Linked DNA regions of Arabidopsis thaliana. The protein of the gene in region 3 interacts with the protein of the main gene of each other region in a pairwise test. Each region holds a gene or a part of one and is shown on either strand. Other genes may lie near its edges. The genes, in order: AT3G17020, HHP4, AT1G33080 and UMAMIT27.

Region 1 (6,722 bases), on a different chromosome or scaffold from region 3:
TATGCTTATTCGGTAGAGGTGAATTATCATCATCTCGGATTGAGATGAGTTTGACTGCTTGTCATAAGTTTATGATGTCTGTATAGAGTTTCTTAAGGATCTAATGTCTCTTGTCTAGGTATTATGAGTTGGTGGAAACACCAAATGGGATTCTTCGGAAAGGCAGAGAAGTTTTGATCACTGGATGCTACCTTCGTACCGCGAGAGAAGGATTTGGCACTCCACGGTTACTTCCAACTGAGTATCTTGTCGTATTGCTAGATGAGGTTTGGTTTCTGACAATCTTTTGAAAGAGAAATTAGAACTGCAGTATTGAATTTGCTTGTAGTTAGTCCTAACACATCTCAGTTTTCATGCGAAGTTTATATGAAAAAGAGTGGTTTAGTCTTTACCTGACTTTCAAATACCACAGGACCAAGATGATGATGCAATCCTCATAGCAGCTCAATTTTGTTCCGATACTTTCTCATCTGTTTCTCTTGATGCTTTCAACGATGGAGCTTCTTACTCTCTGTATGCTAGGTAAGAGAATATGTGGGTAAACAATCTTACTACCAATCTTGGTAAAAGTAACTTACTATTCACATTCCTAGTTGCAAACACATTCAAGAAACTTCAAATACTAATACAGTGATTATTTTTATCAGATCAAAACCTTTTGGAAGTAATGCCTAGTATAACTCCAAGTGTTGTGATTTTATAGTAAAATTGTAGAAATATGCGTAAAGTACCCCATAACAAAAGTATATGTTTTGAGAAATTGAGTGGTTACCATGACTTAACTTCTAAAGTAATATTTCATGTTCCCCTCTTTGTTTGAGAGCAGAATTGAATCTATAGGTCCTCTGGAATCTGAACTCACGTTTAGTACTGCACGTAGAAGGCAAATTTCACTTGTAGATGGTGATGGCGATAGGTTAAAATTTATCTTGTGGGGAGAGCAAGTCATTGTGGCAAACCTTCTGAGGTAAGCTCCTGGCTGGGTGCTTCTACCTTTAAATTTTTCGACCAACCCCTTCTTATAGATTCATTTTCAGTGTGGGAAGTGTGCTTGGGATTGAGAGGCCTTATATTTCTAGTCTCGAAGAGAGTGCAATGGAAGGAAATTATGAGTTCTGCCTTGAATACGGTAGCGCAACACATCTCTATCTAGTGCCATCAACCTTACAAGAGGAACGGGTAAATGAAGTTTTTTTTATGTTGCTTCCTTTTTCTGTTCAGATTTTTGCATTGATTTGTTTTTTTTTTCTTCAGGTTTGTGTAGCGTTGTCACAACATCAGTGTCAAGGATCTAAACTGCTTGGTTCAGTCGGAGTTTCACAGGTGACATTGCCTCGTGATGCCGATGGGTCTGTAGACTTCAGTAATTATCCTTTTCGGGTGAGTAGAAGTTAAGATACCATTTATTCAAGCATGATGTTAATTGATGGTTATGGTAATTGATATTTGTAAAGTTCACACTGAATCTAGGTTCATAGGTTCTTAATCAATTCCGTGTTTAGAAATCAGGCAATAGGGAGGTTCTTCATCACTTCCGTGTTAATAGGTTCACACTGAATCTAGGTTCATATCGCTACAGATCCTATTCATATGCATACCATTTATTGGTTTTTCTTATCATAGCACCAAAATGCATTCATAAGTCTTACAGTTTTGCTTTTATATGGCGCACAATATCATCTCTGTTGGAAATTTACAGCCTTGTAAGCCTAGGAGATTATACGTAAAGCCTGCTCTGGCTATTATTTGAAAATCTATGTCTTAGCTGCATCTGCTAATATTCCTCTCCTTGGTTGAAGTTCTGCAGACGATGATAACGGACATTCGTGACAAAACGACTGGCATCAGTCTTTATGGGGTTGTAACAGACATTTCATGTGATCCAAACGCCACAGGAGTGGTCTTTTCTTTGAAGATCGAGGACACAACTGGAGCAATATGGGCTAAGCTCCATTTTACCAATTACTGGTATAAGCGTGTTTCATGAATCTCGAAACGACATCTGAACAGAAATTTGAAGGCTTTAACATTCTGTTTAACAGAAATTTGAACCATATATAATATATGGTTTCCAGGTCGTTGGGAAGGTTAGGGCTTGGTCATGTCGTGTACGTGTCTGGGTTATCCTGCAAAATCACAAAAGAGAACTGGTAAGCCGTTTCTCTTGCTTTGAAACTGATAGATATACTACGGATCCATCGCTATTGGGAAACTGATTTAGCTCAAACATGAACTGAATACTTATCAATAAGTAACAGTAGGTATTGGTTTATTGCTTTAGCTTAAACATTAATGGAGTTCTTGTTTTTGGGTTGAGCAGCATTGAGATGTTATGGCATGAGAAAGACGAGAAAGCTACATTCGTAAACCTTAGCTGCTTGCCTGCATTTCTGACCTCTTCTTGTATTCACCTGATCTCCACTCTCTCCCAAATATCAAAACAGAGAAAACCTGCAATAAATGTTCGTCTTGCTCTCTAAATGATTCACAGAGCTTTATGTGGCGTTTCCTTTGCACGTCTGGATAATTCGTTTATTTTTCTTTATTGGACAGATTTGTCGGGTTAAGCTGGATGAGATCGACCAATGCCATAACATCAACACTAGACTAGCTCATAGCCTTTGCGGCCATTTCATAGATGAAGAATCATCATCATCTTATGGAGCGAACCTGCATTGTAGTTTCTGCCGAGTAAGCTGCAACAGTAACACAGAAGTAGTGAGAACATTCCACATAACGATAACACTTGCAGACGAGGAAACCAAACTATACGCGTGGTGTACTGGTCAGTCTGCATCAGCTATACTTCAAATATCTCCTGATGAATTCTGTGACCTCCCAGAGGTAACAAAGCAATCTGTTATTATATATATTTGGTTATAATAGTAGCTAATATATGGCGGTAAAATGAATGAATAAAAGAAGCAATGTAAAATTATTGGTGGTTCAGGATGATCAGCTAATGTATCCGTCTTCATTGGAGAACGAATGGTTTCTAGTGATTTTAGCAAACAGCGGTAGCCGGAATTTGGGTTCCGGTCATGAAACGGACGACACTTGCTGGGAAATCACACGAGCTCTCAAGATTTGAAGCTACCATGAATTTTCCTTTACTTGTCATGATTAGTTGAAAAAACAGACTCTGACCGTCTTTAAAATACTAAACTAGTGGAGAGACTATTTGAATTAAGAACGTGAATGTCTGTTTGTCTTTTTGGACAGTGTTGAAAAACTTGGTGGGCCCAGACCCCGCCCTTATCTTGTCCGTTACATTTGCCTCCGTGAAGATATTTTCCACCCACTGTTTTTTTGAGCTATTTTAATCGTAAGGCTGCGATCGGTCGTGGACTCCATTCAACGGCCATGATGTTTCTGTATCGTTAGACAGCATTACAGCGAATAACTAATAATTATTAATCGTTGATCCATTTCAATCTCCTTAGTAATACATAGTCCCTTCTTCCACATCAGAACCCATTTGTCTTTGAGTGAGAGAATCAGCTTTCAGAGAAAAAAGTATACCTACAGAGAGAGTTATGGCGGAGAGTGGTGGACGAAGGATCGGAGTGGCGGTGGATTTCTCGGACTGCAGTAAGAAGGCTCTGAGCTGGGCGATCGATAACGTGGTTCGCGACGGAGATCATCTGATCCTAATCACTATTGCTCACGATATGAATTACGAGGAAGGCGAGATGCAGCTCTGGGAGACCGTTGGATCACGTACCTTCTTAATCTCTCTCTCTCTCTCTCTCTCAAATTCCTTTTCACCTTTATATTGTTTTCCTGGAAACGTGATATAGAAATTGGGTGTGATCGCTGATGATTTAACTTATGATTTTCCGGTTTTGTCTGATCTTGCATACCTTTGTTGAAGGAACCTGACTTACTTATGCATCGTTTGATCTATAATTGGTTCTGTATGATTTGCTTGTTTAAATTTGGAAAGAATCTATTTGAAGTAGTAGTTGATCGTGTTTTGCTCATGATCATCTTAATTCTTTCCCAAGTTTATGGTTTGAATTCCTACTAATGATCTCGTTGTTGTTTGACTCTGGTTTTGTGTTTGTAACTTTTCAGCTTTTATTCCTATGAGTGAATTCTCTGACGCTGCTGTGATGAAAAAGTATGCATTGAAGCCAGATGCTGAAACCCTTGACATTGTCAATACTGCCGCTAGGAAGAAAACGGTAAGCTACTTCTTCTTTCCCTTTTAATGAAAGAATAATCCATAAAACCTCTCTGCAACTGGAAACACTTTTATGCTTACAACAGTTTTAGTTTACTAATGTTCACATAACAATACCTGAATCAGAGTATTAAGATTATGATTCCCAAAGATGGTGATCTTCCAGTTGCGGATAGTTTATGAATATGCATCACTGAAGAGTACCGATAACTTGTACAAAATAATGGTCTATCTCTGGTGTTCTAGACAAATTAATCTGAGGATTGGTGGGACTATACTCTATTGAATAACCTGTAACGGTACTGACATTGAATATGTTACATTACATCTATCATAGTTTTATTCAGAAGTTCATTGAAAGCTTTATGTTGCCTTGTTAGTTGTGACTAATAAGTGAACATTGTCAATCCATATGAATGTGACTTTCTTTACCACAATTGTTTGGTTCTGTATTTAACCAAAATTCAACTGTTGTGAAACATGTGCAGATTACAGTAGTGATGAAGATATATTGGGGAGATCCTCGTGAGAAGATTTGTGCAGCAGCTGAACAGATTCCTCTCTCAAGCCTTGTGATGGGTAACAGAGGCCTTGGTGGTCTTAAGAGGATGATTATGGGAAGTGTAAGCAACCATGTTGTCAACAACGTTGCATGCCCTGTGACCGTTGTCAAGGCTCACATCTGAGTTTGCTCGGAGAACTCTAAATAACACCACCGTGTATTCTATAATTTGTGTTTTTGTGGTCGGAATTTCTATTGTTAACTGTTGTGTGACTGGTGTTTTGTTCATCTGTATGGATAAACAACACTCCACCTTCTAATAAATACAGACTCTTTTGATTTTTGGACCAAACTCCACTCATATCAATGTGTTTTTAACTTATGATTTGTCCATTTGTTTTTATGGTTGAAGAGAAGAGGAATTAAACTTGACAAGTAACAACAACATAGATAGTTTTGTTAGCATAACAATCTTACAACGAAGTTCAGGACATAAGTAGTTCTACAGGAAATACAAGCTAAAGAGTTTCAGCGAAATTAATAAGCACGCAAAACATACATAAAATGTCTCCATAGAGAAAGAAAGCAAGACACTTAACATTCATTCCTCAATCGATCATGCACTGATCCATCTTCTCTCTGTTCTTCTTGGAGGTAAGAAGGACAAACTCGAAGGGTTTGATAAGCTTAAAGGTGCATTTGTCACCAACCATCAAAGGGAACTCTCTTGCCAATTTCGAGTATCCACCTGAGAAGATTGTCCGAATCTCCCTCACCAAGCAAAGCACCTTCCATGAACCACCATTCGGGTGACGAATCGTGAAAATCTTAGACTTATTCGGGATATGATCATCCACAAAATGTTTTGGTATTGCCTGATACATAAAAACCAGAAAATCATTATCACCAATATACAGAGATGTGTTCTTGTTTTGGTTCTGTCTTATGGTTTGAATCTTACCAGGAACTTGAGGTATGATTTCCTTATGGTGATTTTGAACTCTGGAACACCATCCAGCACTTGCTTGCTCTTGCTCTTGCTCTTCTTCTTCACTTTGTTTCTCGTCATCTTCTTCTTTGATGATTTGGAATCCTCAGTCTTCTTCTTTCTAACTAGGAACTCAGCTCGTCCCGGAGATTCATCACTTTCCTCTTCCTTCTTCACATCTATGAGGCTGTTCTCTCCTTCTTCTTTCTTGATCCCACCTGTTTTCATCAATCATCAAGAGTAAAATAATTAGTCTTCTTCAACTTCATATTCTCTGTTTTAAAGAAAGCATTAAAAGCACAAAAGCTTACTAGAAGGACCCATCGTCTGGAATTTTCGAGGTTTACGCATCTCTAAGCCATTCTGCTCGTAGATGTTGACATGAAAGACCATATTTCCTCTGTGAGTGAAGGTAATGAACTCGTTTTGTCCTAAAGCATTGTCACTCACAAACAGATCCCATCCACGCGTCTCAATGTAGTAGTATGTCGGGTTCTTGGAGACTTCTACATCCCATGTCTTTCCCCATTGCGCTCTTATAACCATCTTGTAAGAGAAGTCTTTCTCAGAGACTTTGCTTATGAAGCTGTAAGGAAGCGCTCTCTGGTTGGAACAAACAATGAAGAGTGTTAAAAACACCAGAGAAACAACAGATTCAACGTTTCAAAGACAGAGAACGTGAAGATTCAGAATTTAAACTTTTATTAAACAAAGACAACCAAAAGATTCTACCTTCTAGCCAAAGCTGAAAGATCTAACTTTTCAAATACAGAGAACCTAACATTCAACCGTTGAGACCCATAAAAACCCAGAGAAAGAACAGATTCAACGTTTCAAACATATAGAACGTAAAGAGTCAGAGATTAACCTTTTATTAAACAAAGACAACCAAAAGACTCTACCATTTAAACAAAGATTATAAGATTTAACTTTTAAAACACAGAGAACTCAAAGATTAAACTGTTAAGAGTCTTGAGAGCAGAGAAACAACAGATTCAACGTTTCAAAGTCAGAGAACGTAAATATTCAGAGATTTAACAGATTCA
Region 2 (7,114 bases), on a different chromosome or scaffold from region 3:
ATTCAATCTGTTTTGATGCAGAACACAAACAAAGCAGCAAACTAACCCAGTAAATTCTAAGGATTGGTTGCAGTAACAACATCAATCATACGAAGCCATAGGAGAAAACGGATCTGGATTTGAGTTTATGGTTTGAAAGTTATGGCCAAAATCCACGACAGATCCAAAAACATGTCGACCTGCGAGAGACCAACTTTAAGAACAATTTCCAAACAATCCACAAGGAACCAGAACGCGATCTTTATATCATTGGAAAGATCTTGCTTTCAGGTTTTCAGAACATCTTTCAGAACTAAAATCCAAGCTAAATAGCAACTCCAAATTAACAAAGACAGAGTTGATAAACGCCACTTCATCTTCTTCTCATTCTTAGCCAATCTTCATATTCATCATTATGATGCTAGTTCTTTTCCCTCATGTTGATTATGTGTTTCATCCAAGGATAAATTGAAGCTAGGAAACACACAATCAACACAGACCAAAGGTGCTTATTAACCCAAGCAAAAACTCCACGCTCCTCAACTGAGATCAATCTCAATCATCACCTCTTTTAACCAAGCAGGCATTCTTCTAAACAGAGAAGACAAAACACAATCTATTTCTCGTCAACCACTTGAGAAACAGCCTCTTCTCTTCTTTTGAACATGAATTTCAAACCAGATCAAGCTTCAAGAGTAGACAACAAAAACAACAACTTCCTCTCTTATCGAGAAAACCAAAATTATAAGAAATGCTTTGTATCTAGCCAGAGCTTCTTGCAGAAAGACGTCATCATTATCTACATGAGCTCTTGAAACCTGCAACAAAGACACACAAACAAATTCGATTACAACAATGTGGTTTGGGACAAGAAGCTGACCATGATTTTACCTGATAGTAAAACGGGCCTTGTCTCTTGACAGCTGAAAGTCTGAAACAAGATCATAATATTTCTCAAGCGCTGAACTAACACAAGTAAGGGAATGGAAGTGAATACTTGTTCTATAGAGGTACCTTGTAATACTCCTCGTTTGAGCAGATGGGCTTTTGGAGGTTGGAATCAAAGGAAGCATCGGATTTGAGGGGGTTTACGAACATTCTCTTGGCTATTTCGAGTTGATTTCTCTTCCAAGTTGTGTCGTCTCCATTTTTGTTGTTACAGTGGCCGAGCTTTTTGTTTTCACAGCGATGGGTTTACATTGGTTTTGAAATTCAAATTGATCTCGGTTCGGTTTAATTTGGTTTAGAGAAGAAAACCAAAAAAAATACGACACGCGATGGGTTTTTGAGAATGAGGTGCGTGGATCCAAAAATGCATGATTTTTGTGGATTAACCCCTTTAGAAATCGTAGACACGCGCTCAACGCGACATGAGTGAGAGTGGCTGTGAAATAGCACGATTGGTAAAAGTGGGGTATGAAGTGGAGCTCTCTCATTGGCTAAAAATATAAAAATAGTAGGGGAGCTCCTCCTCTCATATATTGAAAACAATAACAAACACTTATAAATGTTCTGCATTTTCAGAGTAAATTTTATTGATTTCTGAATTTTTATTGATGTGCATAGATTTTGTTTCATATTTTGTGTACTTGTAGTTTATCAACACTTATGGATCATTCGAAATGTATACCAATCAGGGGAAACCTTCAAGAAGAAGATCAGAATCAAAGTATCCTCTGCCATGGAACAATTAGGCTTGTGTCAGGTTCACAAGGAGGCTATATGAGGTTGACACTGGATTATGATACTTTGAATGCTGCAATCAAGACTGGAATCATCTAAAAATATGAATCCTTCAGCTTCTTTAACCAGTAATACATATGTGGATTAACAATATAAATCCTTTGTTGAATAAAGGAAACAATTAAACGTTTGATTACATATAAGACTTTACATAATCCAACTTTTATATGAAGCTACTACAAACAAGATTCAAAGATTCCATCTAATCTTCAATCTTCATCTTCAACATCCTTCAATATCTCTCCACTTAAGATACACTAGCCCAGCTCTATAGTGCGTGAACGCACCAGCAACAACCAGAACATGAAACAACTGATGGCTATGTCCTGCTATATCGAATTTACCCGGCATCCATCTCTCTGGGATCCTAGTTGCATAAACCAGAGCTCCTAACCCATAAAGCAAACCCATCAAAATCTCATAACCTGTCGTGTGAAGGGCTTCAGGTTGGTCCCAAAAGATTATCAGCTTGTGAAGAATCGGAGCTAAGCCAGAGAATCCCATTCCAAAGAACAGAGACGCCCTCACCACCCGAAACTCCGGGCTTTGGAAAACCGGGAGGAGAGAAACAAGCACAGTGGCGATTCCTAAGATGGTTATGAATCCTAAGTAGAGGTTGCAGAAGAAAGGATCACACATGAAGGAGTAATAAACCGGAGGGTAGAAGGAAGTCGCTATTAGAGCTGCGATGCCGGCGTAATCAAGCCTAAGCATTATGTAGGAGACTCGCTCGGAGTGACATGAGAGGAGGTGGCACGTGCTGCTTGCTAATAGACAGAACATAGCACCACCTAGAAATGCATAAAACGGCCATCGAGTAATTGGCCTGAAGATCAAAGGAGCTATCAAGTTTGCAAGATCTTCCCTCACAGAATGCTGCAATGCAATTACAAAGATATGAACTTGGCCACATTTTGAAACAGTAATCTGCAGGAATAGAGAGAAAGATTGAGTCTTTTCTTACCAGAACACACATGTCAGTGTAGTTGCCATGAGAAAATCTTTCAGGCAAACAGTTATAAAGAAGGTCCATCACATGCCAACTAGATGGACTAGAAGGAAGGCGAGCCATGAGCTCAGAATGAAGTTTGTGGAGATCTGTTTTCCTCAACAAATCGGGTAAACGGTGTTGAAGCGAATGAAGATCCACGACACTCGGTACTTTCGTTGCAGTGTATATAGTGAGCGCCAAAAACAGGAAAAACCCAATCAAGTGCCTGCAAATCCCAAAGAACACACACACACAAACACACTCAAGGCTCTTGAACTTTAAACAAGGATACATCAAGAAACATGATTCAACACTTACGTCCAAACATTCAAAGTCTCATTATGAATGGTAAAGATGCTGAGAAGAATCTGTTTGATCGGCCATTCGGATCGGTAATGACCAATGATGTACTCATTGTCTCTTAAATAAGCAGGCAATGAATGAAACTCCACCAATTGATACTTGACTTTCTGCCATAACCTCTTCCCTTTCACATTATGTTTCTTGTCCATTGTTTCAGATGAAGCTTGTGGCTTTAAATGTTCCTTGATCTCTGCCTCATCACCCATTTTCTCTCTACTCATAAACAAACCAAACCCATAATATCAATCATACAGATCTAAATCTAGCTCAATCTGAATCATTCCAAGAAGTTAGGAATCAAAGTTTCAATTTTGAACGTTTATGCTAAATCTTGTTTTGTTCTGGATAATGAAAGTATCGATTTTTATATGCAGATTCAGCTCATTCATTACCTAAAGCTTCAATCCATAAATGGATTTGAGAAAATTACCTGAATTTCGAAAGACAAACCCTGTAAGATTTAAGAAATTGAGAGATAAGTAATTAAGAGAATTATGAGAATTTTTCTTCGATTTCGTGAAATTAGGAGAGAAAAGGTGAGATTTTGTTACCTGGATCTTCAATGCCGACGAGACAAAATCTTCTAAGAAAGATCTCTCTCTTTCTTAAAAGTCAATCAAAATAGATCTCAAGGTTTCGTTTTTGTCGAAAACAGAGAGTTCTTGTTTTGGTATGAAATCGAAGAAAGAAGAAAAAATAGAAGACGACGATGGAAGTGGAAGCTCTGAAGCCACAAAGCTTTATGAATTTTATATATTTTTATATATTTCAAATTGGGACCACTAGTTTTGTTTTGTTTATTAGTAGGACCCTTTTATTTTTCTTTATTTTCGTTTGGGCTAAGAATTTAATAGCTAGAGTATTTATTGTACGAGGATGGAAATACATCAAACAGAGAAAATGTTTTGTCGAAAATATTAACAAATATTTCTCCTATGAAATCAAGTCTTTCTCAAAAAAAAAAAAACTTATTTGATATGGGGAATTTAAATTAAGGGAAAATTAATTTAACATACCATATGAGAGCAAAAAATAAAAAATAAAATAATTGTGCTCCATGGATTCTTCTTATTAATGATTAAAATTTTCAATTAGGTGAAAAGGAAAAATTTATGATTGTGGCACATTTATTGCATTTAATCATCTTTCAACTAAAAATGGAGATGTCTATTTATGGTTTTGTTTATTTGGTCGGATTTCTTTTTTTTTTTTGTATAGAAAATATTGACAACGAATTGAATTTCAGTTCTAGTTTATGTTTGGATTTAATTTTAAAGCAAAAACTATCTATCGTTAAGAATTTTCCGAAATAAAGATTCACATTTCAGAAGATTTTTTTGTTTTGTTTCGAGTCGGTTTTGGTTATTTTCTTACATAAAATACACAGAATAATTCGAACCATAATATTGAATTGTTATTTTGGTTCACGTACGTTTACCGTTGGAGACTTTATAGCTCTTCGTTTATGCTTGTACGGATCAATAATCATGCATACTTAAGTATTTGGAAAGAAGAAGAAAAATAAAAGATTTTATCACAACATAAATAGTAACGTGAATTGGCATAAATGAATCGCAACAAACAGGTCGCAATCACAATGATAAAAATATCTACTGGCACTACTTCATAAGGAAGGATCTTGTAAGAATATTACTTTCGTTTTATTCGGATAAGCAGAAGATATTCGTTTTTTTTCTGGCTCGTTTTTTCACCTATTCAAGTTTTATGTCAATTTGGTTACGTACTCCAAATTGTGGCACTTGTAATTTGACACTCTTTATCAAAGTTATCACTTATCTTACTTGCCAACGAAACTAGTATCAGTATTCAGAGCCATTAATACAAATCAATCAAATCTTAGAGGAAGAACTAAAATGATGTACATAAATTGATGTTTTAGTTTTGCCAATTAGCATAAATAAATACTTTTAAGAATCTTTTCACATTTTTTCTCTAATAAAAGTGAAACATACACATTAAATCTTTTCACATTTTTTCTCTAATAAAAGTGAAACATACACATTAGAATCAGTTGTTCACCATATATAAAAAGGCTCGCCAAATTAAGATCTGGACATACTTAAAATGGGATTGGGCTGGTAAATATTCTAAAAACATTCCTTAAAAAGCCCACTCTGATAAGTCCGCGACTTCGAAACTCCGATGCAGACCGAAATTGGTTCTATAGTTTGGGAGAGAATGACCAGACCGGTTCAATCAATTTTCCTTCGATGGACCCAACCGAATAACTTCCATGTGGGGACACAACTTAAGCTTGTAACGACCAGACATTCAAAGAGTTCCGTCAAATAGTAATAGAGAAAGACTAAAGAAGAAAATATGGAAAAATAAACAATAAATAATAATAGAAAAAGACTATTGAAGAAAATATGGAAAAATAAACAATAAATAATAATAGAAAAAGACTATTGAAGAAAATATGGAAAAATAAACAATAAATAAAATACCTACTTACCGTGGGTCCCACTACGGTACTACTGCCGCCTTCTCCGACCGTAATCAGCCGTCACCTGCCGGTTTAGTTACAATAACAATTTAGTATTTATTTGAATTCTTTCTCTCATCGAAGTCTAAGGAAGATGGAGCGAGGAGCTTTAGTGGGTTCTTCTTCTACTTCTAGCTACTATGTTCCTTACCACTTTCGCCAATCAAAGTCGAATTTTTCGTCATTCAAACCAAAAAATAAGCTAAACCCTACTCAATTCCGGTTTAACTGTTCATGGTTTAAGCCGGTTAGTTCTATAACGGCGGCGAAATGCAATATGTTTGACTACGCGGTGACTGCAGCCGGCGATGTGGAGGCTGAGCATCCAGTTGACGACAAACAGTTTGTGCGTTGGTTCCGTGAAGCATGGCCTTATCTTTGGGCTCACCGTGGCTGCACATTCGTCGTTATTATCTCCGGCGAGATCATCGCCGGCTCTTCTTGTGATGCCATTTTGAAGGTACCGTCTTTCTTCACCGTATTATATACTTTGATTTATGAGAAAAAAGCACGCAAGGTGTTCGATTGTTTGCTTGCCTCAACTAAAGTTGTTACTATTCTTATTTTGCTTTGTTATATGATCTTTTCTTTGCAATGTGCTTGAGTTTTCAGTTCTCGTATTTGAGTAGAAGGTGAAGTGATTTGATATATGTGCAGGACATAGCGTTTCTTCATCATCTAGGAATAAGGTTTGTTTTAGTTCCTGGAACTCAGGAGCAAATCGACCAGCTTCTGGCTGAGAGAGGTCAGAATATTATAAGCTTTGTCACGATGTTAGATTCTAGACTATAAACCTTGCTAGCGTCAAGTAAATGGTTTGGTTAGCTACGAGTCTAATGCTGTGTGAGTTGCAGGACGCGAGGCTACGTATGTGGGACGTTACAGAGTAACGGATGCAGCATCTTTGCAGGCTGCTAAAGAAGCTGCAGGAGCAATATCAGTGATGCTTGAGGCCAAATTATCTCCTGGACCTTCTATTTGCAATATCCGTAGACATGGTGATCGTAGTCGTTTACATGATATAGGTGTTAGGGTTGATACCGGTAACTTCTTTGCAGCAAAAGTGAGATTTTCCACTTTTTTTATTGTTCATACGACCTTGAGTCTTATTAATGTCGTTCATAATGACCGATGATTATCTTGGGTCTTGTTGTGGCAGAGAAGAGGTGTTGTTGATGGTGTTGATTTTGGAGCGACTGGTGAGGTAAAGAAGATAGATGTAGATCGGATTTGTGAGAGGCTTGACGGTGGTTCTGTAGTTTTGTTGAGGAACTTGGGCCACTCGAGCTCCGGAGAAGTCTTAAATTGCAAGTATGCTCGCTCTTCTCCAGAGAAAAATGCTTCTTCCATTAACCTTAGAAAGATTAAAGTTTTCTAATTCCACTTTACTTCTGCAGTACCTATGAGGTTGCTACAGCTTGTGCTTTAGCTATAGGAGCAGATAAGCTTATTTGCATAATGGACGGCCCAATTCTTGATGAGAGTGGACATCTTATTCATTTCTTGACACTTCAAGAAGCAGATATGTTAGT
Region 3 (9,809 bases):
ATCATTGAAAACCTTTATAAAAAATATATAACTAAATGCTGTGACTATTTTCCTAAGTTTTTCTCAATTTTTGCTCAATTATTTATTTGGTAAATTATATGCAAAACAAAACAATTCCACAACTTTTCCTCAAGTTTTTTTTTTTTTTTTGTGTGCACCAAATTCATAGATTGAAATTAGAAAGATACATGAAGATTAGGCTTCATCGGACAAACTCGAGTAACAAATTCGAAAATTGAAAAGCTTGACTATACATAACTCAAACTTAGAGACACAAGCTGCAGTAAACTTCATAGGAGATCAAGAGAAGTGTCGAAACTAACTAACACAAGCATGCCCATGAGGAAGGAAGGGATAACGAAGAAACTTTATGAGTTGGCAACTCTCTGCGACATCAAAGCATGTGCGGTAATCTATAGTCCGTACGAGAATCCAGTGGTGTGGCCGTCAATCACCAACTTCTGTAGATAACAATAATTCAACGTTAGAGAAAAAAGAAGAAGTTACCATCAAAACAATTAACTAAAAGTGTTTTGAAAGATTTACAAGGGATTTTAAAAGGGTTTTATAAGATTTACAAGAGATTTTTAAAGGGTTTTAAAAGATGTACAAGGGTTTTTAAAAGATTTTTTTAAAGAATTTACAAGAAAACCCTTTAAAAACTCTTGTAAATTTTTTTAAAACCTTTTAAAATCTCTTGTAAATCATTTAAAACCTTTTTAAAATTTTTTTGATGGAAAATAGATTTACTAGGGATTTTAAAAGAGTTTTAAAATATTTACAAAGAATTTTTAAAGGGTTTTAAAAGATTTACAATGGATTTTAAAAGGGTTTTAAAAGATTTATAAGGGATTTTAAAAGAGTTTTAATATTGATAAATATATATTTATATTTATGACGAGAGAAATAAAAAGAAGAAAAAAGTAAACGTACGTCATTTTAGAAGAAAACTTTTTCTTTTGCTATATGTAGAGGAATTAAATCTTCTACTTTACTCTGCTTTTTGACTTTTCAAAAAGAAAAAGATTTTTTATTTACAATAGAAAAGTATATTACATTACATAATACACAATCAAATTTCATATTTCAAATAATAATTCAGTAAATTTTGTAATTTATTACAATATCTTTATTTAATAATTATTTTGTTTCCAGCACATAAAGTATCTACAATACTATTATTTAATAAAATAACACAAAATATTATGAATATTTCTGATTTATAAGAAATAAGGTTGAATTTTGATGAAATTCAAAGTTATTATATTTCACATATAATCAGGTTACCTAAAACACGAATATAACATATGTTCTTAAGTTAATAACATTATCTAAAAACTCTTAAAATGATCCAAAATGTCAACTGTAACTCATAAAACGTTAATGTAGATTTTAGTACAAATTTAAATTAATATATTTAAAAGTTTTATCAATCATAATTATTATATATTTTGGTGATTTTTAACAAAACTTAACTAATCTTTCTTTTTTTTTGTAATCAAAACGCAAACTAACGAAACCAATTGTGAAAATTTTGATTTACAATATTAAAGTATACATAATTTATTAAAAACATAACAAAAATAACATCATTGAAAACCTTTATAAAAAATATATAACTAAATGCTGTGACTACTTTCCTAAGTTTCTCTCAAGTTTTTTTCAAGTTTTGCTCAATTATTTATTTGGTAAATTATATGCAGAAAAACAAAACAATTCCACAACTTTTTCTCAAGGTTTTTTTTTTGTGTGCTCATAATTTATAAATTGAAATTAGAAAGATACATGAAGATTAGGCTTCATCGGAGAAATCCGAGTAACAAGTTCGAAAATTGAAAAGCTTAACCATACATAACTCAAACATAGAGACACGAACTGCAGTAAGCTTGATAGGGGAAGAAGTGTCGAAACTAACTAACACAAGCATGCCCATGAGGAAGGGACGGATAACGAAGAAACTCCATGAGTTGACAACTCTCTGCGAAGTCAAAGCATGTGTGGTAACCTACAGTCCGTACGAGAATCCAGTGGTGTGGTCGTCAACCGAAGGTGTTTAAGAGGCGGTTTTAATGTTTATTAAAAGGCCGGCGATAGAACGGTCCAAGCTGATGATGAGTCATGAGACCTACTTGTAGAACCAAATTACCAAAGAAACAAAGAAACTGGAGCGTCTACGTCTTGAAAACCGAGAAACTCAGCTTACACATTTTATGTTTGATTGTGTTGAGGGTAAGATAAGTGAGCATCAGTATGGTGCAAGGGACCTTCAAGATTTAAGTTTTCATATTGATCACTATATCAATCAGCTTAATTCCAGGGTCAAGATCCTTACAAACAATGGTGAGTCTTCTTCTTCCGTTCCTCCTCTACTTCATACTTCAGTTGCGGGTGCGGGTGCAGCTCCTCTTCCTGTTGCGGGTGCCGATCTTCCGATGGATCAGAATCAGTATGAGCCGATTCAGCTCTATATCCCTATTGGTCTTAGTTATCATATTCAATACCAACATGAAATCTATGATAATTTCAGTTTGGATCCAAATCATTAGTATCCGTTTCAACATGATCCACTCATGAATATGTTGATGGAATATCCTTATCAACAAGTGGGTTATGTTGGAGAGCATGCGCACATCCTTTTCATGAACGGAAACTACTACAACTACCACCAAACACCAACCGTTGGTCTTACTACCACCGGTCACATGCCTTCCAACAACAACACCACCCCCACCACCGATGTGTGATGTGTTTCAATAGTTTGCATTTTTGTTTTGTTCGTTTCAAAAAACCTTAAACTCTTACAACAATTAATTGGATTTGGTTTGGTTATAAAAGATGTGTCTATTCAAACACCAACTTTTGGTAAAATATTTGTAGAGGCCATACCTCGCTGTGATATATATTTCGACTATCTCATCCCATTTTTTGGGTGATTTGTTCAAAACTAGCTATGTCTTTTTCGGTATGCAATGTATAAATGTAAATGTAATTTTGACAAATTTTAAATTTTATTTAAAATTTATTTATGAAAAGTATTCATTTTGCATATAAAATACCAATTTGGCAAATTAAAGAATCTTAAAAAGAGGTGTAGGCCGGCTTTTCATTTCCTCCGTACGTAAATAAACAACCCACCAAACAAAAATCTCTCCTCGCTCCATGCCTTCTCTACTCTCTCTTCATTCTCTCCTAAGCTATGGCGAGAAGAGAAGGAGAAGTGACGGAGACCCTTCTGAAAAAGTCGACGGAGAATCGCGGAGAAGATCGGGATGGGTTAGGGATGAAGGAGAAGGTTTGGAGGGAATCTAAAAAGCTATGGGTTGTGGCTGGGCCGGCGATCTTTACGAGGTTCTCCACGTCCGGACTATCTTTGATAAGTCAAGCTTTCATTGGCCATCTTGGCTCTACCGAGTTGGCCGCTTACTCCATCACTCTCACCGTTCTCCTCCGTTTTAGTAATGGTATCTTGGTGAGTTTACTATAAGTCTATAACGATTAGATCAGTTCTTCCACACACTCTTTACTACAAATTCGTAAAACATAAAAACAATTTTTTTTTGTTTTAATAACTATTAATATATGTTAAGGATTGTTCTGATTAGTTTGAATGATATAAATCGTACTATATAAACGGTGACGTGAATGCTTAGATAGACTTCTTGTGGGAACTTGTTTTGGTTGATTTGTCAACCAATCATAAAAATTCACAACCACTCAACTCTTTGCCTTTATGAAATGAAATTATGCTATTTCTATGTATATAAGATATTGAATGTTTGGAAGGCATTGTTGGTCGTATACTCTTCGTTTATTGTTAGTGTAGTTACCTTTTTCACATAAACAAGTCTCAACTGAAACTCCATGAGTTTTGATTATTACATCAATTATTATTAATGGTTGGAAATGCAACAAAAACATTTCATTGTTAAGTAGAATCAGTGGGTAAATACAAAATAGAATAAAGTTTAGAAAGTTGGAGAATATAACAAACACCTTTAACCAAAAAAAAGTTGGAGAATATATTGATTTTATAAAAAGTGAAAAAAAAATATTGTAAGAAATGACAAAAAAAATAAAGGAATAGTCAGAAGATTAATTTATATTAAGACAATATATTCCCTTTTCTTATTTGTACTCCATAGTGCAACAAAGATAACATTGTCAAGAAGTATAGCGAGTCATTGGCCACAAATGTCCAATGGTCACCTGCCAATGCCATCGTTTTCTTAATGTTTTGGTCTTTAATTAGCATATCATGTGTGAGGTTCGAATTTATAATATGAAATAGTGCTTTTAAAATGTTATTAGACCATTGGACATATATTCAGTTACACCAAAAAAATTCAATACACAATATATGATCTCTTTACCAACAAGAGTTTATAGGTTATATACATTTTTTAGTTATCAACATGCAATATCCAAGTTTAAAGTTTAAATATTATAGTTGTTTATATATAAGCGTTTATCAAACCTACTTAGTTCTTGTTTTATAGGCAAAATATGTAAAATATTTAACCATAAAATAGTTTTTTTTTGGTGTAATAACGAACCGTCAATGAAACAATATGCAGTTAGGCATGGCTAGTGCGCTAGAAACACTATGTGGTCAAGCCTATGGAGCAAAACAATATCATATGCTTGGGATCTACCTCCAAAGATCATGGATCGTCCTCACAGGCTGTACCATTTGCCTTATGCCCATCTACATCTTTGCAGGCCCTATTCTCTTGGCTTTAGGTCAAGAGGAACGCCTTGTTCGTGTGGCTCGGATCATAGCTCTATGGGTCATAGGCATCAACATCTCCTTTGTGCCTTCCTTCACTTGCCAAATGTTCCTCCAAGCTCAGAGTAAGAACAAGATCATCGCCTACGTTGCTGCTGTTTCGTTAGGAGTCCATGTCTTCTTGTCGTGGCTTCTAGTGGTTCATTTTGATTTCGGGATCGCTGGTGCCATGACCTCTTCGCTCGTAGCACATTGGTTGCCTAACATTGCGCAGGTTTTATTTGTCACATGCGGTGGATGTACGGAAACGTGGAGAGGATTCTCTTGGTTGGCTTTCAAGGATCTTTGGCCCGTTTTTAAACTATCTGTATCTTCCGGTGGCATGATTTGGTATGATTTTCTAATCTTCTCACCTGGTAAAAGTATCAACATCCATCAACGACATAAGTATATATTTACTAGTCATACAAATACTTTTGTAGACCATGTGGTTGTAATCATATATATGAAAAGTTGACCAACTCTCTCCAAATGATTAACACATCATCACTTTAGCATTTGCCATGTGTCTACTAAGTAATTAATGTAAGCTCTTCAACTTCTAATTTATAGGTTAATGATATATTTATTATTTAATTTTACATATTTAATTATAGTATTACTAAATTTATTTTAATATTACATGATTTTTCAATAAAACAATTTTAATAGTTTTCTCATACTCGAAGATTTTTTTTTGTAATCCAAACTCAAAATACGATTATATAATAGTCTTAGATTACTTAATGATTTGAGTAAGTTATTCTCTTAAATTGATATTTATATTCTCTTAAATTGATATTTATACAATAAATCACTGAGAGTGAAGAATACGTAAGGAGCTCCATCATCAAATTCTTAGGTTTCTAGAATCCAAAACTACCCTCTGTTAAGTTGGTTTAATACAAACGTTATTTATGAATTATATGTATGATGCATTGTTGAGAATGTTGTTAGAAAAAATATTCTTGAAACTAAAAATAATTGCTTATTGCATGAATAAATAATTAGATAAATAAAAATTATATTTAAACTAAACAATACGAAAAATTCCGAAAAAACCGCGGCGTAGCGCGGGTGATCACCTAATTTATATATAATGCCACGTTGGGTGAAAAGCTGCCAAGTACATTCATTCATTTTCTCAAAGGTTGAGAAATTTTGAATAAATGTTATAGAGAAAAATTTCGTGTTTATGTATTTGTATAATAATATTATTACTATAATAGTATTAATATTATTGTTATAATATTACTATGATTAATATATATATATATACACATATATTATGATAATATATAATAGCACTTGCTTGGTGATATTAATTTTTGGCAGCTTGGAGCTATGGTACAACTCGATCTTGATTCTGCTCACGGGAAACTTGAAAAACGCTGAGGTTGCTCTTAACGCACTTGCAATCTGGTAAAGTATTTTTATCAGTTTTATGTCTTTTGTCTTTGAAGCTATATTCATACGATCGATTTGTACATTATCTTTAGATCATTCGTCTGAATGCTACTGACATTTTACCATTTTTGACTTCATACGGAACACTACTGACGAACATTGTTCGTAGGAAAACAGAAAGAATTGGTTTTATTGTCTACATAACAATATACATTGATGCTAGAGAAAATGATAGGTTTAGGTTACCAATTGTACTTATACTCTCTAGCTAATTGGTAGCCGCGGAATAGCATAATGCTTTTGCGATTGATCATAGGCACTTAGATTCAATATTATATGTTATAATTTTCGCAGCATCAATATAAATGCACTGGAGATGATGGTAGCCTTCGGCTTCATGGCAGCAGCAAGGTGCGTATATATTGTATATACTAGATATATTTGATTATATTCTTCTTGATTAAGTCATTCTAAATATTTGATTACACATGCTTTATTTAAATATCTTATAATCATCTTCATATTTTTATTTTATTTTGTAATAATGTTTTGTAATAGTGTAAGAGTTTCAAACGAGATCGGGAGTGGGAATTCTAATGGAGCCAAATTTGCAACAATGGTTGTGGTTTCGACATCACTTTCGATAGGAATCATCTTCTTCTTTATCTTCCTGTTTTTAAGAGAAAGGGTTTCATACATTTTTACAACAAGTGAAGCTGTTGCCACACAAGTAGCCGATCTTTCTCCACTCTTGGCCTTCTCCATTCTCTTGAACAGTATTCAACCAGTTCTCTCTGGTATGTATCTTGCCTTTTCGATACTCCTATATTGTTTACCATATATAAGACATTAATTCATCGAACGTTGTAGGGATTCATTTTTCAATGATCACTCTATATTCATGCATTGACTGAATATGTGAAATTGGTTATTATAGGTTTTTACGTAGAAAGGGTTTTGTGTGATATATATCCACTATCCAGTCACTTTCACGTATAATGAGTTACCAATTTATCATTATATGATGAATACGTGACGAATGAGTTTGTTTATAACCCTAGACAACATGTTGAACTTATTTATAAATGGGTACAGGAGTTGCTGTTGGAGCGGGATGGCAGAAATATGTTACGGTCGTTAACCTTGCTTGCTATTACCTTGTTGGAATTCCTTCCGGTCTTTTTCTTGGCTATGTCGTTGGTTTACAAGTCAAAGTAAGTCTCAATTTTTATTATTAATATTTTCTTTTTAGTTTTTTAATTTAATTTTGTATATACAAATATAAAATAGTTTTTTTTTAAATATAAAATTTAGGGTGTTTGGTTAGGAATGATTTTCGGAATCTTCGTTCAGACTTGCGTGCTTACAGTAATGACTATGAGAACAGACTGGGATCAACAGGTTTGCAAATCGAATATTATTGGATTTTTAGTAGAAAATTATAAGTATTTTTTTTTGGTTATAATATAAGAACTGACTTGTATATATACATTACTCCTTATTGTTATAAATAATGCAGGTGTCTTCGTCGTTGAAACGTTTGAACCGTTGGGTTGAACCAGAATCCCCAAGTCGAAACCAAACTTTACAAAACGAATGATGGTGAAGATTGAAGTAAAACTTGAGTTTGTATTCGAATTTTGAATTTCTACTTCACCCTCGAATGTACACACTTGCGTAAAATGTAAATGTGAAACAAGTGGTAACGAATTTGGACCACTAAAGTATCAGTCCTTAACTCAGTGATCATTTTCACCTACTAAACTAGGAATCTTTAAGAGCTTTCAAGTGGCAAACCAATTATCGCACATTCTTAGAGAAAAAAATTTGAGAGGAAAAAACGGTAAACAAATACTGATATAGATCAAAGAAGAAAGAAATAGCACTACAACAAAAATCTAGTGTAACTATTATAAAGCTGTCGTAACAAATCAAAGCCATTTTGTTTTGTTAGCATTTTGTTTCGAATTTTTCTTGGCTATGCTATAGATTTGCAGATAAAGGTAGAATTATTTTTTCATTATTATGATTTTTCAAAACAAAATATACGTTGTTTTCTTATTTTAACATTTCTTCTACCGAATTTTTATTCACCAAATTTTTTTATGTAGTATAAAATTTAAAACTATTTTTCTTTCAATGTCAAAATCTATACTATTAATTGGGAAGTATTGTAAATAAACAACCTTATGAAGGGTAGAATATTACATAGAATGCCATTGATTGTTAGTGTTTTTAAATAAATTCATTAAGGATACAATAGTAATCACAAAATTAATAGATTTAAATTAAAAATTGTAATATTTTTTAAAGTAATTATTAGTTTCCCAAAATTAAAATAACTTTCTCTTTCCTATTAATTATGGACGAAAAATTAAACTTTATTTCTTAAAATTTATTAACCAATAAGAATTGCAAAACTAAGATTTGATATCCAATTATACTATTTTATTAAACTAACATTTTTGAAGTTAATTTTTATTTATTTTTTTTAAAAAATCATAAAACTTGCTTGATACCATTAATAAAAATCATAATTTGCGATAGATAAATAAATTTAATTTTAGAATTTTGGGTTAAGTATTTTGAAATATAAAATGAAAACAATTATTTCACAATTTCTAAAAAACAAGATTAGATATAACAAAGATTTATATTTACTATGAATTAAACTAAAAATAATTAATTTAAACTAATTATCATTATGCCATTCATTTAGAAATATTTAAACAAGAAATTATACATATTAATTTCCATATATTTTGGGGGTTTTTTTCTTCTTTTTTTCAACCGGATATTTCTTTAAATAAATCCATAATATATTATTGCACAAACTTTTTTTAATAATGTAAATAATTATACATTTTTCATTCAAAACATATTATCCAGCAATAATAGATTGCTTTTATGGGTGTATTTCAAAATGTAATTATATTTCAAAAATCCAATTAATTATGATTAAACAAGGGAAATAAGAATATTGAAAAATGTAGCTAAGGAAATAAACATTATTAAATTTCTTACAAAGGTATTTGTTAAAATGTTATTTATATTTTTGAATTTGAAGAAGGAACAAAAATCAAGAAAGGATATTTGTGTGTTTAACTTATGATATATTTGTAAACCTTAACATCATATATGTTTATCCACAAAACACAGTCATATAGTATAACATGATATTTAAAGGTAAAAAAATAAGACTTTTGGAACATACTTTTAATGTAATGAAATGAAAATAGGAATTTTGAGACACAAACGACATGAAAAGAGACGGAAGCACTATATATAAAAAAAAATGAAACCAAACTAAACATCAAATTAAATATCCAACGGGTATGAGTTTGGGTTATGAGCACTATATATAAAAAAATTATTTACACACATAACTCTGCATGTATGTATTTTGTGACACAAATTCTATTTGTGATGATTACGGATAACGGGTTGGTAGTATTTTATTTCACATATACAGACGAGTTATGAGACGAAAAATTTATAATAGCACATTATGGGTTTTCCGTTCCAAGATAGTTATGCCTAGCAAATATACATGAAATAACCCAATCTAAAACCAAATCCATATCCTATTTTACACTGATAATCAAACTGTTATAATGTTTTGATTAGTTTAGAAAAT
Region 4 (7,197 bases), 8.1 Mb from region 3:
TAAGACAGACCAAGCAAATAGAAAAATTGCATCAAACTCGCCCTGCAAATTTAAACCCAAAACTAAGCTAGAATTAAAAAAAAAAAAAAAGCTTATGATGAATTTTATGCTACTTGAGAGAAAATAATTCCTATGTGGAAAGGAAATTGAAAATGGACGACAAAAGAACATAATCAAATATTATGTTGAGTTGAGAAGACAAACCCGAGCAATCCACTGATGAAATGATCGACCATTAGCCTAAACGTTATTTCCGGTATTATTTCCCTGTTAACAATAAGACGTAAATTTTAGGAAAAAATGTCAATAATTAAACTTCATATATTAGTAACAAATACTAGTTTATATTTATTTCATGTTAAAGTAGAGCATTCTCACAATATTCGCCAAAAAAGTAAATAACTTACTATTTCATCAAAAAAATCAAACCTTTCCAAAATATAGGCGATAGGAGCCAGAATGAAAGAGGAAATAGCAATTCGATAAGCACCAATGATCATATGGTTCACACCAACATCAAGAGCTTTCTTCACAAGTGCATTCACCGAACCCATTGCTACTTGTGATATTACCATTACTATTATCGGTGGCCATTTTGATTCTACTTTCACTACTCGCATATCCTCACCCATCCCTCTCTCGTCCTCTCTTTCTTTCTATGTCATTTGGTGTATGTGCGTTAAAAAGAATTGAAACCCAATGTGCTTTGAGTTTGGCAACCACAAACCTTCCTCTATATATATAAGAAACATGTGTGTATGGGTTCTCTAATTCTAATAGAAAAGACCCTGAGTTGAAGAATTGTTGTATTAACTTAGTTGTCTTTCTATCAAAAACATTTTTTACAAAAAAACTTAGTGGTGTCTACTCGAGTTCATTTTAAATAATATTAGAATCTTGTTCCGCATTATGTGTGAAAAGTAAAAAAAAATAATAAAATTTTTTTTTGTCAAAATATTTAAATAGTTTGAATGTTCCCACCCACACAACTAGCTAATTAATTTGTATATATTTTTTTGTTGTTCTGGTTAAGACTAATCTAAAAAATAAACTTTATTTTATATAAGATAAGTGTTTGTGAGGAGGGAACAAAGCACAAACCCGAGCATATTCTTATTGAGTAATGGATTAAATCGTTAGCTTTAAGTTTAAGAAGTTGTCGCAAATATAATTACTGCGGTAAAATATTTTTTATTTATTTTTCAGGTCAGTGTTGCGATATATACATGACGATTGCCTTTACTGTATTATTTTTACTTTTATATTTAGTAGAAATGCATGAGACACCGATACATTGGCTTTTATCACACGTTCCATGAGACACCGATACCTTAGCTTTCCATTCTATACGTTATATGAGACACCAATACATTGGCGTTATCACCCGTGTCATGCAAATGAAGTAAAACAGTGTCGGTATAATCTATACTTAGTGTAATCTAATGACACATAAACACTAAAGTATTATACTGAATTCCCCATCTACGATGACCACGTCATATTGAATTCTGATTCGATATGATGGGAAAAAGTTATCATAATTATATGAGATTTTTGCAACTCTCATTCAATAATTCTCCATTTTATTGTTCCCAATTTGGATTCGATCCCTTTTACGCTCTGTCCTTTCACTGGATCCATGCAGTACCTCGTTTTTGTTATTTATAATGCACATAATAATTGTTATACATTTCAATATAGAAGTTAATGAAAAAAATTATACTGTATTAGTATATAGTTGTTTCTCCCCAATATGGGTATCGAAATTTTGCCTTCCTTTATTTTGTCCGTCGAACTTTGTAGGGACAAAAAGCAGATGCTATTCTAGATTAAGGTAAGGCTTAGAAAAAATGGACGGGGCATTTTCACTCCAGTAGTGCATAATATATATACAGTAGTACTAATTACAATTGGTCTTTATTTTTTCTAGACCTTAAATTCTTACTGTTTTAGCAACAGGCTACAAACTCAAAACGCAACACATTTAAAATCAGCACGAAAATAATCCAAGAAACAGAGCTTTTGAAACTAAAAACAATATTACGAGGCTCTTTTAACAGATCTGTTGTGAAATGTTTTGATATATCATATATGCTTTATATTGGTTAGTTTTGAATATTATAACAAATCTGTTTTGTTATCTCTTTACGAAATTATAAATCTGCAAACGAAAAGTATGAATTATACAAACTGCTTGCACAATTTGAATCTGAATATTTATGACTGGTCTTTAACGTGAGTGTGCTTGCACAATTTAAATCTAAATATTTATGACTGGTCTTTACGGTAAATGTATTCAGTAGTAAATACTAATTTACGACAATGAAGCCATATGAATCTTTCTATGACAACAATATTATTTGATTAAATGGGCGACCTAGACTCGTTGATCTTCGTTGTTCATCCGAGAAGACAATGTAGTTATGTCTGCTTCCGTTTCTTTGTTCTTACCCCACAAGAACACGTAGAGACCTATTATTGTCCCTACTGATCCAATCACACTGTATAGCAAAAGTTACAAAATAAATTGTAATTAGTAATACGAGCATGAACCTAATACATTAACATCTATAAAGCTATACAAAAAATTTCATAGAGATGATCGAAGAGAGCACCTTCCGAGGTATAAAGGAGTGTGTAAGATAAGGAAATCGAATAGAGTAGCCGATATGAGAGAAACTGGCATAATTGCTGATGCGAAAACAGCTCCTAATCTGTTTATTCCCCATGTCGCTGCTACAGTCGACATTGCTTGTCCTATCACTCCCTATAATACGTGTATAGTAATAAGGTAATATTAGGTAAACCCCAAAATTTATTTAATTATTTACATATATACTACATTATAATTTATAAAAATGTTAAGATTTCTGATAATATAGTATTATAACTTACAGCATATATTATGACACCAATCACAAATCCATCGTCGATGATCCAATGTTTAAGGTCTCTACTCTTGTAAAGACTCAATAGAGCACATTGAAAAGCTGCGAAAATTGACATGAGACAAGTGCTTGAGAATTTGCAAGGATACTTGATGCTTAAAGTCCCTTGAAACAATATCCATAGAGATAGCAACACGATTCCTATGACTAAGTAGAGACATCCAAGAAGCCAATTCTTGGTGTTGTGATCGCTGTTGTTGTGAGGAAGAGCCTCTAGGTGAGAGTGAGAGTTTGATATATGAGGGCCTTTGTAAAATGTTAAGAACAAAGCTCCACTTATACATATTAGAGTTCCCATCACTTTTATCATTCCTGCTTGGGTCTTTAGATCTTTTATCTTCTCAGTTCTGAAAAGTAATATAACCTTTTAGATGATAAATTTGAGATAATTTATGAGTAAGGTTCTTTTGAGTATTTCTATATATAGAAGTATAATATGCTTGATGAAAAAACAAAAGAAATTATATGCACTGTATACATAACAAATACGAATAAATCCTGCATGAACCCATTGCATAGTAATAGTAAATACAGTACTTATTTTAATGATAAAGAAGTTAGATGGTTCCATAATTACCTCAAAATAAGAGCGAAAGCAAAGGTGATTGCAGGCATCAAGCTTACCAAAGCACACGCAACAGTTGCTGACGTGTAGGACAGACCAAGCAAATAGAAAAATTGCATCAAACTCGCCCTGCAAATTTAAACCCAAAACTAAGCTAAGATTAAAAACAATTTAGCTAGCTTATGAAGATTTTATGCTCACTTGAAAGAAAATCTTTCTTCTGTGGAAACAATCAATGTATAATGGAAAAGGAAAATGGAAAATGGACGACAAAAGAACATAAGAAATTGTGAGAAGACAAACCCGAGCAAACCACTGATGAAATGATCGACCATTAGCCTAAACGTTATTTTCGGTATTATTTTCCTGTTAACAATAAGACATAAACTTTAGGGGAAAGAAAATATCAATCTACTTCATATATTAGTAACATGTAGTGGTGTTTATTTACATGTTATAATAGAGCATTCTGACAATCTTCAATTGTAGTAAATGTTGTTAATTATGTAAATATGAAAAAACTATTTTGATATAATCAAATTTTTGAAAATTTTGCATAAGAAAAATATATAACTCAACTATTTTCATCAAAATATCAATAAACCTTTCCAAAAAATAGGCGATAGGAACCAGAATGAAAGAGGAAATAGCCATTCGATAAGCACCAATGATCATATGGTTCACACCAACATCAAGAGCTTTCTTCACAAGTGCATTCACCGAACCCATCGCTACTTGTGATGTCACCATAACTATCATCGGTGGCCATTTTGAGACTACTTTCACTCCTCGCATATCCTCACCCATCTCTCCCTCGTTCTCTCTTTCTTGAATTCTATGTGAGTTTGTGTGTTAGAAAGAGTTAAGACCCAAAGTACTTTGAGTTTGGCAACCACCCTTCCCATATTTATAACTTATAAGAAAGAGTACTGTGTTTGGGTTCTGTCATTTTAATAGAAAAAACCCCTGAATTATTGCTCTATTATATTAACTTAGTGGTCTTTCTATCAAAAATAAATAAATAAAAAACTTAGTGCTGTCAAGTTCAATTTAAATAATATTAGAATCTTGTTCCACATTATGTAAAATTATAAATTACAAAATAGTTCAAATATTTGAACAAGTTGAATGTTCCTACACACAACTAGCTTAATTTTATTTACTTTTCTGGTCTAAAAAAACTTTCTTTTTATATAGGATAAGCGTTTGTGAAGAACAAAGCACTACTACAAACCCGAGCATATTATTAACTAATGAAAGAACAAAATTAGTAGGATACTTAAGTTTAAGAAGTCGTCACAAATATAACTGCTCATGCGGTAACAATCTTTTTTTTTTCCGGTCAATATGTGTATATTTACTGTTATATTTATTTATTTATTATATAGTAGAAATGAGAACCGATACATTGGCTTTATCACACGTTTCATGAGGCGCCGATGAATTAGCTTTTCCATTTTATACGTTATATGAGTAAATGAGAAACCGATACATTGGCTTTATCATGCGTGTTATCTGCCGCGCACCTTATTAATTAGCAAAATGATTTTCATAAAAGAGAGTCGGAGAGATGATGTAACTGAGTTTAGTGAGAAAAAATAAGTCATGCAAACCCGAGCTAGTTGGTATATCTAAATCTATACTTCGTGTAATCTAATGACACTTAAACATTTGTAATCTAATGACACTTAAACACTTGCATGCCCGTCTCCGTCTGGTCGTATAGGTTCAAGTTTGGGTTCTTTACTTTCAATTGTAATTGGACTGACTCAAGGATTTGTTGAATTTGGTGCAAAATAGGAAAAAACACGAACTTTTCAACGAGATAAACTAATCATATGTAGTAAATAAGTACTATATGAGATTTTGCAACTCTCATTCAATAACTTTTTGCGTGCAAATTTGTTTTGTGCCCATTTTGAATTATATTCGATCCATTAATTATTCTCTTTTGTCTTTTCATTGGATCCATCTTGTTTTGCACTATCTCGTTTTTGTTAATTATAAATGCGTATAATTAGCTCTATATTTGAACTTTTAAAGTTGATGAAAAAATTATATTATCCCCATTTGGGTATATCGAACTCTTTCATTCCTTTAGTTTGTCCATATAACTTTGTAGGGACAAAAAGCAGATGCTATTTTTAGATTCAGTAAGTTATCTAGAAAAGGCTTAGAACATAATGGACGGGGCATTTTCTCTCCAGTAGTGCAGACATATATATTCCTTCTACTAATTAGATCAATTCACCAAATATAATAACAATTGAGTTAGTGGTTCTAATGATGTTAAATTTTTTTTATAAAAAAGTTGTCACAAAAGAAAAGTTAGTGGTTTTGACTTAGTTCTAGAATAAATTTACAAGATTGGTATATAATATATTCTATCTTTTCATATTAAATCATATCTAAAGTTTTTCACATAAATTAAGAAATAATAAAAAAAATATTTTGTTTATTTTATATATATAAATTGTTAAAATAAAACTAATTCAACTAGTAAAAAACATATTCTATTATATAAATGGTTACAATCAAATATATTTAAACTTTTGAAAACATCACTTGAAATAAGATAAACAAAATTCTCTGGATCATCATTTAAAACAAAACAGAGAAAGTATTCGATGAAATTAAAACAGTATAACCAACAGCTCAATAATTATTATACTTTTATAATTTTTTTTATTTTTTTTTGAAAAAGGGTTTTATATATGGTGAATTAATCTGATTATACTACATATAACTAAATTGGAAAGGGATAAGAATAAAAAAAAAGAAGTAGACGTCTCAAAACAAAGTTAAGCCTCCATGACGCACATGTAAAGCTTTCATCAATCATTTTAAATTTTGTTTTAGTTAAGAAGTAGCATGTCATTGAACCTTATTAATATCGCGTGTAAATACGGTATTTTGTTTTGTTTTCTGTATTTGCATATTGTCTATACGTAGTACAGTTTTGAAAATTCCATATACTTACATGCTCAGGTAAACAAGTTATACATCCACAAAAATAATTTCTGCAAAAAAGTATATTTACACATAATTTATTAGTCAACATGTTAACGTCTCAAAAGAGTTTCCAAAAACACAAAAAAATGATATTCTTTTGAATCGGGTACTAATTTTCATTTAAGATAATCAAGAACCCCCATGGTGTTCATTGTTTGTTATTACTTATTAGAGTGTTCTTCAACTTCAGCTAATTCATCTTTATCGTTGACTTTTCTACTTCTACAATTTCTTCTGCACTTGTACTCACAGTGATAGATATTAGATATACCATGATACAATTCTTTCATTTATTTGGTGTTTTTCACAAAGAAATGTATATATACCAATAATAATTACGATGGATACAGTAATCAATTATCACATCGAGTGTAGTATTTAAAGATTTTAGATTTTAAACAAACGTGTTAAAGAGAATGTTACAAATAGAAAGGTTGAAGATAGATTTTGCGTGCGACGTTTTATTATTAAGTAACCCCTCCTCGTTATACAACAGTAAATCTCATCTCTTGTGTAACAGATACTAAAAAATCAGGTTCATCAATAATCAAAAGAATGTTGTTCTTACCTCACATTGACACAACTGATGATAACTAGGGTTGTTAATACATCCGGTAACCATAAGAGGAGACCTCGAACTGATTTCTTTCGCTCCGATTCTCGTAACCGTAC

Evidence for each region.
Region 1: the proteins of AT1G33080 (region 3) and AT3G17020 interact in a protein complementation assay, tested with the Arabidopsis thaliana proteins (one large-scale study listed by BioGRID).
Region 2: the proteins of AT1G33080 (region 3) and HHP4 interact in a protein complementation assay, tested with the Arabidopsis thaliana proteins (one large-scale study listed by BioGRID).
Region 4: the proteins of AT1G33080 (region 3) and UMAMIT27 interact in a protein complementation assay, tested with the Arabidopsis thaliana proteins (one large-scale study listed by BioGRID).

The regions. Positions count from the first base shown.
Region 1 is NC_003074.8:5,800,878-5,807,599, reverse strand, and holds AT3G17020 (Adenine nucleotide alpha hydrolases-like superfamily protein), read left to right. Parts: upstream 1-3,317; 5' UTR 3,318-3,536; coding exon 3,537-3,720; intron 3,721-4,077; coding exon 4,078-4,187; intron 4,188-4,312; coding exon of another isoform or gene 4,313-4,369; exon of another isoform or gene 4,370-4,674; coding exon 4,675-4,872; 3' UTR 4,873-5,064; downstream 5,065-6,722. Other genes in the region: AT3G17030 (Nucleic acid-binding proteins superfamily), read left to right, coding at 119-266, 413-522, 827-967, 1,038-1,179, 1,255-1,380, 1,808-1,968, 2,076-2,150, 2,321-2,462 and 2 more; REM22 (AP2/B3-like transcriptional factor family protein), read right to left, coding at 5,297-5,563, 5,650-5,894, 5,988-6,279.
Region 2 is NC_003075.7:17,697,399-17,704,512, reverse strand, and holds HHP4 (heptahelical protein 4), read right to left. Parts: upstream 3,880-7,114; 5' UTR 3,628-3,879; intron 3,528-3,627; exon of another isoform or gene 3,507-3,527; 5' UTR 3,298-3,506; coding exon 3,032-3,297; intron 2,940-3,031; coding exon 2,687-2,939; intron 2,599-2,686; coding exon 1,945-2,598; 3' UTR 1,561-1,944; downstream 1-1,560. Other genes in the region: AT4G37682 (hypothetical protein (DUF1399)), read right to left, coding at 669-797, 871-910, 994-1,052; NAGS2 (N-acetyl-l-glutamate synthase 2), read left to right, coding at 5,677-6,042, 6,240-6,327, 6,437-6,645, 6,742-6,893, 6,980-7,114. UniProt on the Arabidopsis thaliana protein: May play a role in abiotic stress response.
Region 3 is NC_003070.9:11,982,556-11,992,364, forward strand, and holds AT1G33080 (MATE efflux family protein), read left to right. Parts: upstream 1-3,094; 5' UTR 3,095-3,196; coding exon 3,197-3,469; intron 3,470-4,574; coding exon 4,575-5,116; intron 5,117-6,100; coding exon 6,101-6,187; intron 6,188-6,526; coding exon 6,527-6,583; intron 6,584-6,730; coding exon 6,731-6,969; intron 6,970-7,267; coding exon 7,268-7,386; intron 7,387-7,486; coding exon 7,487-7,573; coding exon of another isoform or gene 7,574-7,642; exon of another isoform or gene 7,643-7,691; coding exon 7,692-7,772; 3' UTR 7,773-7,965; downstream 7,966-9,809. Other genes in the region: AT1G33070 (MADS-box family protein), read left to right, coding at 334-408, 2,229-2,526, 2,620-2,744.
Region 4 is NC_003070.9:3,850,440-3,857,636, reverse strand, and holds UMAMIT27 (nodulin MtN21 /EamA-like transporter family protein), read right to left. Parts: upstream 4,454-7,197; 5' UTR 4,321-4,453; coding exon 4,118-4,320; intron 3,880-4,117; coding exon 3,817-3,879; exon of another isoform or gene 3,643-3,816; coding exon 3,526-3,642; intron 3,296-3,525; coding exon 2,896-3,295; intron 2,768-2,895; coding exon 2,616-2,767; coding exon of another isoform or gene 2,591-2,615; exon of another isoform or gene 2,502-2,590; coding exon 2,378-2,501; 3' UTR 2,130-2,377; downstream 1-2,129. Other genes in the region: UMAMIT26 (nodulin MtN21 /EamA-like transporter family protein), read right to left, coding at 1-42, 205-267, 430-632; AT1G11440 (uncharacterized protein), read right to left, coding at 7,128-7,197.